Caenorhabditis elegans: one gene and its partner. The protein of the gene in region 1 purifies or fractionates together with the protein of each later gene. This does not show direct contact. Each region holds a gene or a part of one and is shown on either strand. Other genes may lie near its edges.

Region 1 (3,883 bases):
TTAAAATTTCGCAATACTTCTTGACAAGCCAAGAAGTGGGTGGAGCCTAACCCTATTATTGGCGGAACCTAGGCATGATTATACTTAAATCAAAGCTCTTTGCATGCCGAATTCAAATTTTTTAGTGAAAATTATCTGAAATCCAGTTTCCAACAAAATTGTTGGCTGAAAACTAAAAATTTATTAATTTTCCAAAATTCCAGAATCCACAAGCCCTAATCCACCAATGCATCGACGAATACACCACCTCTGCAACAGATGATAGTGACGATGCCGGAGCAGTCCGAATTTAAACCCCGCCCACCAATATTTGTAGTTTTTGTAGTATCCCTTCCTCCACATCTCAATTTGTTCATTCATTCCAGAGCTATTTTTGCCATTTTCAAAGTACTTACAGTAGTCCCTATGTCCCTGTAAACTCTAGTTTTGTAGAACGAATCCCAGTGAACACCGGTTCCTATTTTTGAATATTTTTTGAATATTTTTGAGTAAGAAAATACATATAATTTTTGTGTAAAAATACATATATCGATTATTTTTGTTTATTAGTATTATTATTTTAATATAAAACAATTTTGAAATAATTAAAACAAACAAAAAAAAATCAATAAACCTATTATATTTGGGCTTCTTCGTCGTTGTTGAATCTGAAAAAAAAATTTTGGAAAAAAAAAATTTGGATTTTTTTTCTAAAATAAATAATAAAAAATTTTTAACTTTAAATGTTTACCTCAAGGTACAATAAGCAGGAGGCATATATTGATCGTTTTCTGCGTATTCTGGTGGATTTTCCAACACAATCACTACAGGTAACATTGGCGGCGGAGCCTCTGAGATTTGTGGTAGTTCTGGACCATTCGGCACCTCTTGCGCCGCTTCTGATGTTGGCTTGGGCTCACGGAGCAATTGTTTTTGTTTTTTACACAAGCAGGCTTTTAGGCAGCCTATGAGAGCTGTGGCGATAACCTGGAAATTTTTGTTTGGGGAATTTGTTAATTCCACAAAAAATATTCGAAATTTATATTTCAAAATATATCTTTAGATTTTTAAAACTCCTCGGTTATTGATTTAATTTTCATGAAATTATCAAATCCTTATTTATCTCAGTATTAGCTTTGGTTTAAGTATAATCATGACTAGGATCCGTCAGCTTTGAAAATTGAGCTGGAGCCAATAAGTGGGCGGAACCTAACCTGCGATGGGCGGAGTCAAAACAAGAGGGAAATCAAATCAAAACATTTAAAATGGAATAAACACTTTTCAAGGTGAAAATGAGAATTTTATAACCTACAAAAAAAGGGCGGAGTCTAACCCAGAATTGGGCGAGCCTGGGAATTTACAAACCTAAAAAAAACTTAAAAATTTATTTTTTGGCAATCAAGAATATTGCATTGCTTTTGTTAAAATGAGCGCAGTCTTTGCCATAAATCGTGGCAGGACCAAAAGTGGGCGGAGCTGAAATTGAAAGTGGGCGGAGCCTAATAAGGAAGCTTAAAAATTCAGAACTGTTGATTTTTCGTGTTGACAATTTCCTGGAATTGGGCGGGTGTTATGGCTTAAAATGGGCGGAGCATAAACTCAAAAGGGGCGGAGCCTGGTCATGATTATACCTAAATTAAAGCTCTTGGTTTGCTGAACTCGGATTTAATACTTTTAAAGTTGAGAAATTTTTTTATAAAAAGTTATTGTTTTTTTTAAATAATTTCAACTTTTTAAATTAAAAAAAAATACTTTTTTGTTTCAAAAATCGATTTTTAAATGAAAAAACCCAACTCACCATAACCACTAACATAACCATTGCACCGTCCATCAAATCACAAAACCATCCCTCACATCCAAACCCGGAACTCGAGCCCTTTCGCCGATTGGAGTTTATCAGCAGACCGCTGCCCCCACCCATAAAATTCTGTAATTTTGCGGAATTTTTTGGGATTTTGCCCCAAATTTTTTGAAAAAAAGTAGCATGCAAAACAGACGAAAAATTCTTTTTAAAAAAAGTTTTTTAGAAATTTAAAAATTGGCTGAAAATTGAGCCCAGAAAGCTCAAAAAATGCTCAAAGTATTCCAGAAAAAAAATCGATTTTTTCAGAATTTTCCGCAGAAAAAAGAGGTTGAAAAACGTAAGTTGTCTCTACAACTCTGAGCAGCGATCCCAAAAAAAAGGAAACATTGCTCAAAAATTAATGGAAAAGCTTCTGTGGTCGCTCATGTTAGAGGGAGGGGGTGTTGAGAGACACAGAGAAGGCAGAGAGAATCACTTTTTATTATTTTTTTGAAACATTTTTTGAATTTAGTTTTGTTGATAGCACACGACAGCATTTGCATGTGTTCGGCTTTTTGTCGAATCTAAAATTTTTTTTGAAAACTTTCAATGTTTTAAAAACCTTACTTTAATGATGAATAAGCTGGTGGTCTTTGTGTTTCTTGACTTTCAATATCTTCAGAATTCCCTGAATCCCCGGAGCTCTCAGTGGGCTTCGCCGACAGTGTGGAGGACTTGAAGCATCCGTAGAAGAAGAGAATAATCTGGAATTTGAAATTTTCAGTCAAATTTTGAGTTGAGCTCAAAAATTTTAAGTTTTTTGAACTCGGGAAACTGAGAGATTTCAACAAAAAAGTATAATCATGACAAAGACATGTTTTACGAAATTTGAAGTTTATCGAAAAAAAGATTTTTCGGTCTCGACACGAAAATGGGTCGGAGCCTATTCTTTTCCTTTTTTTTCGTTTTTTCTATACTCAGAACATTAAAATTTTTAGATCTGAAATCATATTTTAAAATTTTGAAATTAAAAAGAAACCTTTTCCAGAGCTTTTTTCCCAAATTCTGAAAATGGGTCCGAAAGGGGCGGAGACTAATCTGATGTGGGCGGAGCCTAACCTGAATTTTACCCAAATTTGAAGCTTTTGCGGCCTTAATGAAATATTACTATTTTGAAGTTGAAATAATGGGTTTTTTAAAAATAACTTTTGAGCATTTTCCATCAAAAACTTAAAGAGGTCTGAAAGGGGCGGAGCCAAATATTGATTTTATTCAATTCACTTTTTTTTCAGACACTTGAAAAAAATTTTCGTCTATTGAAGTTCGAAAATTAACAGTTTCGCAGCTTTTTTAGTTTTGTAGTTTTCTCAAAAACTTTAAAAAATGGGGTCTGAAAGGGGCGGAGCCTAAGCCGGTGCGGGCGGAGTCTAGTTACTCTACTGAAATGAGAGCTCTCAAAAATTATAAAAAATTTTGTAAGTTATTGAAAAAAAAACATTTTAAACTTATAGGAATTAATATATGAATTTTCCAGGTTTTCATTGATTTTTCTCAGAATTTAAGGATTCGGTGTTTGCGTACTTTCCGTGCTACCGTACCCAAACACTCACCGTACAAAAGCTGCCAACCACAACACCAAGGAAGAATATGCCGAACTGTTTAATTTGGAGCCATCCTTCGAATTGTTGCATTTCCAATTTACCAAAAAAATAGTAGAGAAAGAAAATATGGCCTCCTTCTTGCTTTTGGCTTGTGATGGTCTAGTTATTTAGGGTCGATTAGTGTATGAAAATCGAAAGTTTTTTCTTTGGCTGTACAGCAGTGACGACTTGGAGAGAGAGGCAGCAGAATGGTCATCATCACTGGTGATGAGAAACAAGGAATTGGTCAAAAACGAGAATGACGTTATTTGATCTTCATGCGTTATGGTCTTGTTACGTTTTCGGATGGAACGTCGTGAGAAAATCATGTGTGTCGAAGCTGGGAGATTCAGGGGATCTGGAGATCAGGGACCCCACAGGGTTTTACTAGAAGAGATTTCAAGTCTCCCAAATTAATAGGGTTCAAGGTCAGAACTGATTTACACCGTTGAAACAGAAATACATCGAAGACGGCGGGATA
Region 2 (6,525 bases), on another chromosome or scaffold:
CAAATAACTGGAATTGTATTTGGAGTGGTTGATATAGTTATAGGTTTTTTAAAAATCTTCGAGTGACAAGAAGTTGATGCCACTACCTTTAAATAATTAACGCACTAATTTTCAATGACCGAGTATTTTCAGTGCGATGTGACACCACCACCATCTCCTGGAGGAGCTAAGCTTTCCCAGACTATGCAATTCTTTGAGATTTGCGCCGCATTGATTGGAACACTGGCTCGTTAAGCACTCCTTGATGCCAACAATGCTCTGTGTAAAATTCAACTTTTCTGTCTCAAAATTTATTTCTTCCATTCCTTGTATTAAGCTTGAAACCCCCGTTTCTTATATTGGTTCACTTTGTTGCAGCTTACAGTATCTTTGTATTTTTTTTCTTGACTCTGTTTGGTTTTGCCCCTCCCCCCTTCACCTCCGTAAATGCCACGTATTTTAATTGATGCTATTCTAGTGCCGCTTTCATTTTCAGCCAATTTTGACAAGTAACCATACAAATAATTATTTAAAGTTATGACTTGACTTGTCACCCCCTTTGTTTCTGTGAATAGATTTTCCTTCAGCGAGTGATTGTTTCTGTTTTTTATATGTTTCTCTTCAGTAGTTTTTTTTTCTGTCTTTTAAACTCCCCTTCTCCTACTTCTTTGTGTCTATTGTAAGTAAAATATTAATTGAATAATTTCCTACCCAAAATTATTCAATTATTCTCATGTAAATTTTTATTTTAAGACACAACATTGCAATGGTAACTTTAAAACAAGAAAAAACAAATTCAGAAAGATCCAGACGCAATTTTCTTTGCCTTCTCAGCCTTCTTCTTTTTGTACAGAGAGTAGTTATGTTCGGCACTCATGTAGGCAGTTTCCAAGAAAAGGAACACAAATTCGCAACAGGTAAGGAAGGATATTCCGCACCAAAGACCGAGTTGTCCACCAAAATCGGCTAGCAAGTTGACAAACTAGAAATAGTTGAGATAAATTTTTTGGAATAAAAATAAATTTTTTTTTGCCTGCTCGCTAGTAGTAATTCGGCATTTTTTCGAATTTTTTTGATACATTTCTTTGATACACGTTCTTTGCCTAAATTTTTCAACTCACCCCATAAGCCTCTGATTCAGTGAGCATTTCAAAATTCAACTGCTCGTAGAACACTTCCACCATTGCTCCGTTCTCTCTCAAATAGGCCCAATTTTAAAGTGTGTTTTTTCTTGAATTAACTTACTTATAATGCTTATTACACTCTACCGCTGTACCATTACACGATCCTAGTTGAATTTGCAAAGATAACGACGGCCACTTTGCCGGCGAGTATGTAACGGAGTAGATTGACTGGCGGCATGGTTGTTGGCATCTTAAAATTGAAATTGCAGTTTTTTATTTAAAAAGTATATAACAATTCAAAAGTTACCTGCAACGGAAAGATCCGTGTAGGCCTCCCAAGTCATTCATTCTGGCGTCAAGACATTTTCCTGCAGAAAAAAATATTTATGGAGATGTCAAATTTGAAACTAACTTGCAATAGGGTCTGCTGCATCGCAATGCCGTGCATTTTCAGGGACTGGGAAACGTGGATCTCCACATCTGCACTCTTTCAGCACGAGTTGTTGGAAGCAAGAACGGTAGCAGCCCTGGAATAGTTCCCTCTGTTATCATATTAAGTTCTATATTTAATTGCTATTTTAACAAGAATCACAAAGTTTCTATGACCCATTTTTCCTACTAAACTTGCTTAAATTCTGTTTACTATTCACCTCTACCGAATATTCATAATTGCTGTAAATATAGTCCGATGTTTTGCCATCTGGCACACAATCTCCATAAGGTGCTGGCAAACGTGACATCTTTCGCTGAAAACAACAACACCATTACTCTATAAAAAGAGTTTGAATTTCTAATACCAATCGTAATCCAAATGAGGATACATATCCAGTTGGAGCAGAATAACCGAACGTATCAGGAAATGGGAAATCTTCTTTGTCATGAATAGTCAAACGAACGCCTGTGGCTTCCGTGGTTGGCATATAGTCAGACGCGTTTACATAAACCAGCATACGTAATCCGTACATGGGACCTGGAATCGGAACACGTTTTTTGGTTTATACATAACGGACTTCAAAAATTATTTTAGAAAAAAATATGTGGAAAAAATTTTGAGGAAACTAACCTGCTCGAATACTAGTCAAGTTTACTGTTCGATTATGATTGAAGGTAAAGCACGAACCAAACGCAGGGTCAATATGAGTCAGAAAATCTCTGAATAATTGAATTTATATCATATCTGAAAGCCTAACTAACGCTTCGATATCACACGCTTTTCCGTTAAACGAGCACTTGTGGACAAGTTCCCTTTTTGTAGTACTTAGCCGTTCCCTATCTTGCATTGACAAGGTAGCCATTGCAAACATGATGTTTTCCTTGGCTTTAGTGACAATTGCAACTTCATCTGTCATTCCCTGAAACTTTTCAGTTTCCACTTGATTTATATATTTGTGATTGTTACCTGAAATCCCATAGCTTCAAGGAAGTTTGGATCTTCAGTTGGAGTTCCTCCTTGAAGATATGTCCAAATTTCAATTGGTGGCGTCTTTCCGTTGTATGCTACACAGAATCTAGATGGAGCACAAATACATGGGGATCTATGGCCCTTCGCTGAAAAATTCCGATTTAGAAAAAAACAACAATAAAAATTAAGAAGAGTAAAATCAAACAAGTGAAGCTAGTTTGGCAAAGTGATTGAAAAACCTACCAGTTTTGTTATCTTTGGTGCAGAAAGCATGTTCATTGCAAGTATCACATTCGGTGGTTTCCCAGGTTCCGTTCAGAAAACAGGGCCACGCATCATGAGTTGATCTATCGAAAGCGCAAATACACCGATCGTCAAATCCCGTCGGCTCGTCGAATTTTGTTCTGAACGAGAAAAAAGATTTGTGGAGAACATTTCGAAACGTCTCATTATGAACTTCTGTATTTTGGAACCATATGAATTTCAAATTTATGGAAGGCAAAATTGAGCCTTCTCAAAAATTGGACTTATCAAAATGGACAAACTTTACCGTACCTCAAAATTGTAAGACTAGACTTTTTCAAACACTTTTTTGTCAAAGTTGTTAGACTAGACTTTACCTCTCTGATTGACATTCTTCCATCATATTCATTCCAGTAGTTGCTTCCACATCGTAATTCTCATAATGCTCATTGTCATATTCTTCCATTCCATCCCATTCCTCATCGGCATCTGTGTTCAAAAGAATGTTTTACGCGATGCTCATTTGACATGCAACACTCACCATTAATATTAAATACCTTTTTGGTAGTTGTTTCAAGTAACTCTTCCTCCTTCTCCTCATCCTTATCCTCTTGCTCACTAGACCCTTGGCTTCCACAAAGGCATCTTGCAAATCCTGGCTCAAAAAATGCTCCAGATAAATCACGTTTTCCTCGACGACGTGCCGGTTTTGTGGTGGGTGCAGGGGTGGTGGGTGGTTCGGTGACAACTTCGCGTTCCTCTTCGTGATCTTTGTTTCCTCCGGCTTTTCCCATTGCTCCATCAAATGCTGACAACGTTCGCTTTACTAAATCCACGCTTGTTGCTAAACTTGCTTTGTAAGGATTCAAATTACAAAGCGTAATTGCTGGAAAAGGTGCAGTGTCTGGAAATAAAAAAGCTCAGTAAGGAGCACATGATTTTTCAAACTACCAAATTTCAATTGAATATCGACAATTTTCTCATTCCTGTTGTATTTGTCAAGCACAGATTGAGCATTAAGATAGAGCATTATCATACATCCAAGAAAAAGTACGACCCAAACTGCTCGATAATATACGTTTGGAGCTTCACCAATCATGGGAATTCCGTGAGCAGATGTTTTGTAGCAAAACTCTTTGAAATGCCAGGCTAGACGTTTGTCATAGGGTAGCAATTTTGGATCGAATTCTCCCGTAATAAGTTCACACTGAAATTCGGAAATGTTAGATTACTCAGCTGCGACTTTTTGCAAGTTTTATTTTTTTTACCGTTTATTGAACATTTTAAGCGTTTTGATTATATTGTTCCAAAACAAAAAATCTTGGTTTTTAATTTTGGTACAGTTTTGCAGATAAGCTATCAAAGTAAAATAAACAAGTTGATTCAGCAAAAACTTAGTAGTTATAAAGACAAAATACTTATCGAAGAATTAAGAAAATACGGGCCTTCAAATTTACAGTTGAAAAACTTCAATGTATATAACGAATATTTCAAAAACTGGGAACAAAATACAATTGCATACAAAAATAAAATTTACCGTTGCAATTTGAAAATTACGTAAACTCACTTGTACTTCTGATTCTGTAGAGTTGAAACATTCGCCATAACCAAAATCTTCATAATATTCTCTTTCTGTCACAAATTTAGTCGTCTCTTGTAAGTACGCTAACGGGTCTCCATAAACCTGGGACATGTACTCGGATGGGTCCCGAAGGTGTTGGTAGTTTTTCAGGTTTTGCATCCATGACATTCTATAACTTGATAGCGATAAAAAAAATAGCATTAGCAAACTGATACTCTAAGAAAAATGAAGGAGGGGTAGTCGCTGACGACAATGATCTTGCTCATGTCTTCACATGGTTCCATTACATTATAAATGTATAGAATAGTAGATTGTTTCATACTTGTAGAATGAGAAGAAAGCTGATGGTTTTGAGGCAAGATAAGATCCATGAAAGTGTGTTGAAATGTGCCTGGTGTTTGAGATGTTCTGGTGAGGGTGGAAATGTATTTGAACATTCTGGAATTTTTTTTACACTACATTCGGTGCAATTGTTCTACGATCACAAACCTTCAAACATGAATAACTATTTTTTGGAAGGGATCACTTTTATTCGACGAGACAGTAAAAAGTAATTTTTTCAATAAAAATAGTTGAGCACCAGTCAATGCATATACAAAACAAAATCGGTATTATTTAATAAAGCAAAGTGTGTCTCAATTGCTTATAAAGAATTGTAGACAGGGACAAATAAAAAAGTTCGAGGGGATAGTTCATGAAGTTGAAAAATAAGGTTATGACGTGAGAAGATTTAGCAAATGTCCGAGACGACAGTGACTAGCTTGCCATTGACAAAAGTTGTCTTGAACTGCTCCGGAACCGGGAACTCCGACTGAAAAGGAAATTTAGATTGGGTTCTACAATCCGAAAAACTTACATAATCCCCATCATCATTGGTTTGCACGGAGATGTTCATCTCACTGGATTTGGAAGTGACAATCTCGCATCCTTGAGCCACCTTTGACAAGTACACCTGGCATCCATCAGTCTTCTGGATTGAAAGAGTTGGGAGCTCTCCAAGGGTCTAAAAATTAATAACAATAATAGATTCAGTGAATTTCGAAGCATATAGTTGACTGAACTTTATTAGTAATTTGGAAGATTTTAACGATTAAAACCAAATATTTATTTTCACATTTTTTATTTAGAAACTAATTTTATGTTCAGACGGAAAAAAAATAGTATTGTATTTGAGCTTGTATTGAAGCTTGTACAACTAAAAGTCTTCTGATTACCTGAATTTGCACAGATTGGCAGTTGACAGTTTCGCACTGAGCCACAAGGGCATCAAACACAACAGACGTTTTCTTGCACCCGTCCAAAGTAATAGAATTGGCCTTTCCGTTGACCTTAATCACAGAATTCTCACAACGGTAGATATAGACAGTCTGCTTCTTATCGGCAACATCGAGAACAATGTTTGGATCGTTGACAAAGTACTCCTGTAAATAGTTTTTCATTGATAATGCTTATTGAATATGTTTTTCAAGTTGTTGAAACACTTACCACAATCCATTGTTTTCCGTTTTCCAGCTCCTTGTGTGGTGGCTTCCTTACTGGAGCAGCTGGTTTGGCAGGAGATGAGCCGCCCTGAGAAGCACCAGCGGCTGGCACAACAGCGGTTCCTCGGAGGTTTGGGTTCTTGTGAGTCTGCATATCGGCCGTGACCTTCTTCAGTCTAGAAGTAACTCCCTCTCCCTGGTTCAACGAAGCAAAGAGAGCATCACGGCTTGCCTTGTCAGCATCTACTGGTGGCGGAGCAATGTTGGCGAAGAAGTCGGCTGGTGGTGGTGGAGGTGGTGGGGGTGGTCCTCCTGGACCTGCTGGAGCTTTTGGAGCTGATGGAGCAGCGGCAGATGGAGCAGAGGCAGAAGCATCAGGGGCGGCTCCTGGAGCGCTGTTCCAGACTAGACCAGTAGTGTGAACTTGACGAACAAACTTCTGCATCTCTTCAAATACAGCCTTCCAAGCCTTGGTCCACTCAACGTGTCTTGGATCGGTCTCCTTGAACTCGCGGAGAATTGGGTTGATGTAGAATTGAGCAGCCTCAATGAACTCCTTCACGTATGGAGCTGGGGTTTTCTTCTGAAATTAGAAGCAGTTTAGAAAATATGTATGTTAAGATTATCGAATCTTGAGCACAGTAATATTTTATTTCAACTTTTGAATGTTAACATACCACGGTCACCCATCCAAGAGCCGGAAGTGCTTCAGCC

Evidence for each region.
Region 2: the proteins of mec-19 (region 1) and mec-4 purify together in Caenorhabditis elegans (affinity purification with western blotting, with the first as the bait; one study listed by BioGRID). This does not show direct contact.

Annotation. Positions count from the first base shown.
Region 1 is NC_003279.8:12,562,539-12,566,421, reverse strand, and holds mec-19 (uncharacterized protein), read right to left. Parts: upstream 2,067-3,883; 5' UTR 1,901-2,066; coding exon 1,778-1,900; intron 967-1,777; coding exon 731-966; intron 648-730; coding exon 617-647; 3' UTR 527-616; downstream 1-526. Other genes in the region: Mitogen-activated protein kinase kinase kinase dlk-1, read left to right, coding at 204-293; C49G9.2 (uncharacterized protein), read right to left, coding at 2,265-2,346, 2,390-2,526, 3,373-3,453.
Region 2 is NC_003284.9:16,802,617-16,809,141, forward strand, and holds mec-4 (Degenerin mec-4), read right to left. Parts: upstream 4,500-6,525; 5' UTR 4,499-4,499; coding exon 4,316-4,498; intron 3,956-4,315; coding exon 3,700-3,955; intron 3,653-3,699; coding exon 3,290-3,652; intron 3,238-3,289; coding exon 3,126-3,237; intron 2,910-3,125; coding exon 2,749-2,909; intron 2,652-2,748; coding exon 2,503-2,651; intron 2,456-2,502; coding exon 2,298-2,455; intron 2,256-2,297; coding exon 2,167-2,255; intron 2,074-2,166; coding exon 1,901-2,073; intron 1,850-1,900; coding exon 1,754-1,849; intron 1,631-1,753; coding exon 1,516-1,630; intron 1,472-1,515; coding exon 1,411-1,471; intron 1,354-1,410; coding exon 1,225-1,353; intron 1,177-1,224; coding exon 1,101-1,176; intron 962-1,100; coding exon 776-961; 3' UTR 705-775; downstream 1-704. Other genes in the region: aak-2 (5'-AMP-activated protein kinase catalytic subunit alpha-2), read left to right, coding at 133-234; cas-1 (C-CAP/cofactor C-like domain-containing protein), read right to left, coding at 5,061-5,141, 5,187-5,333, 5,545-5,751, 5,816-6,394, 6,489-6,525.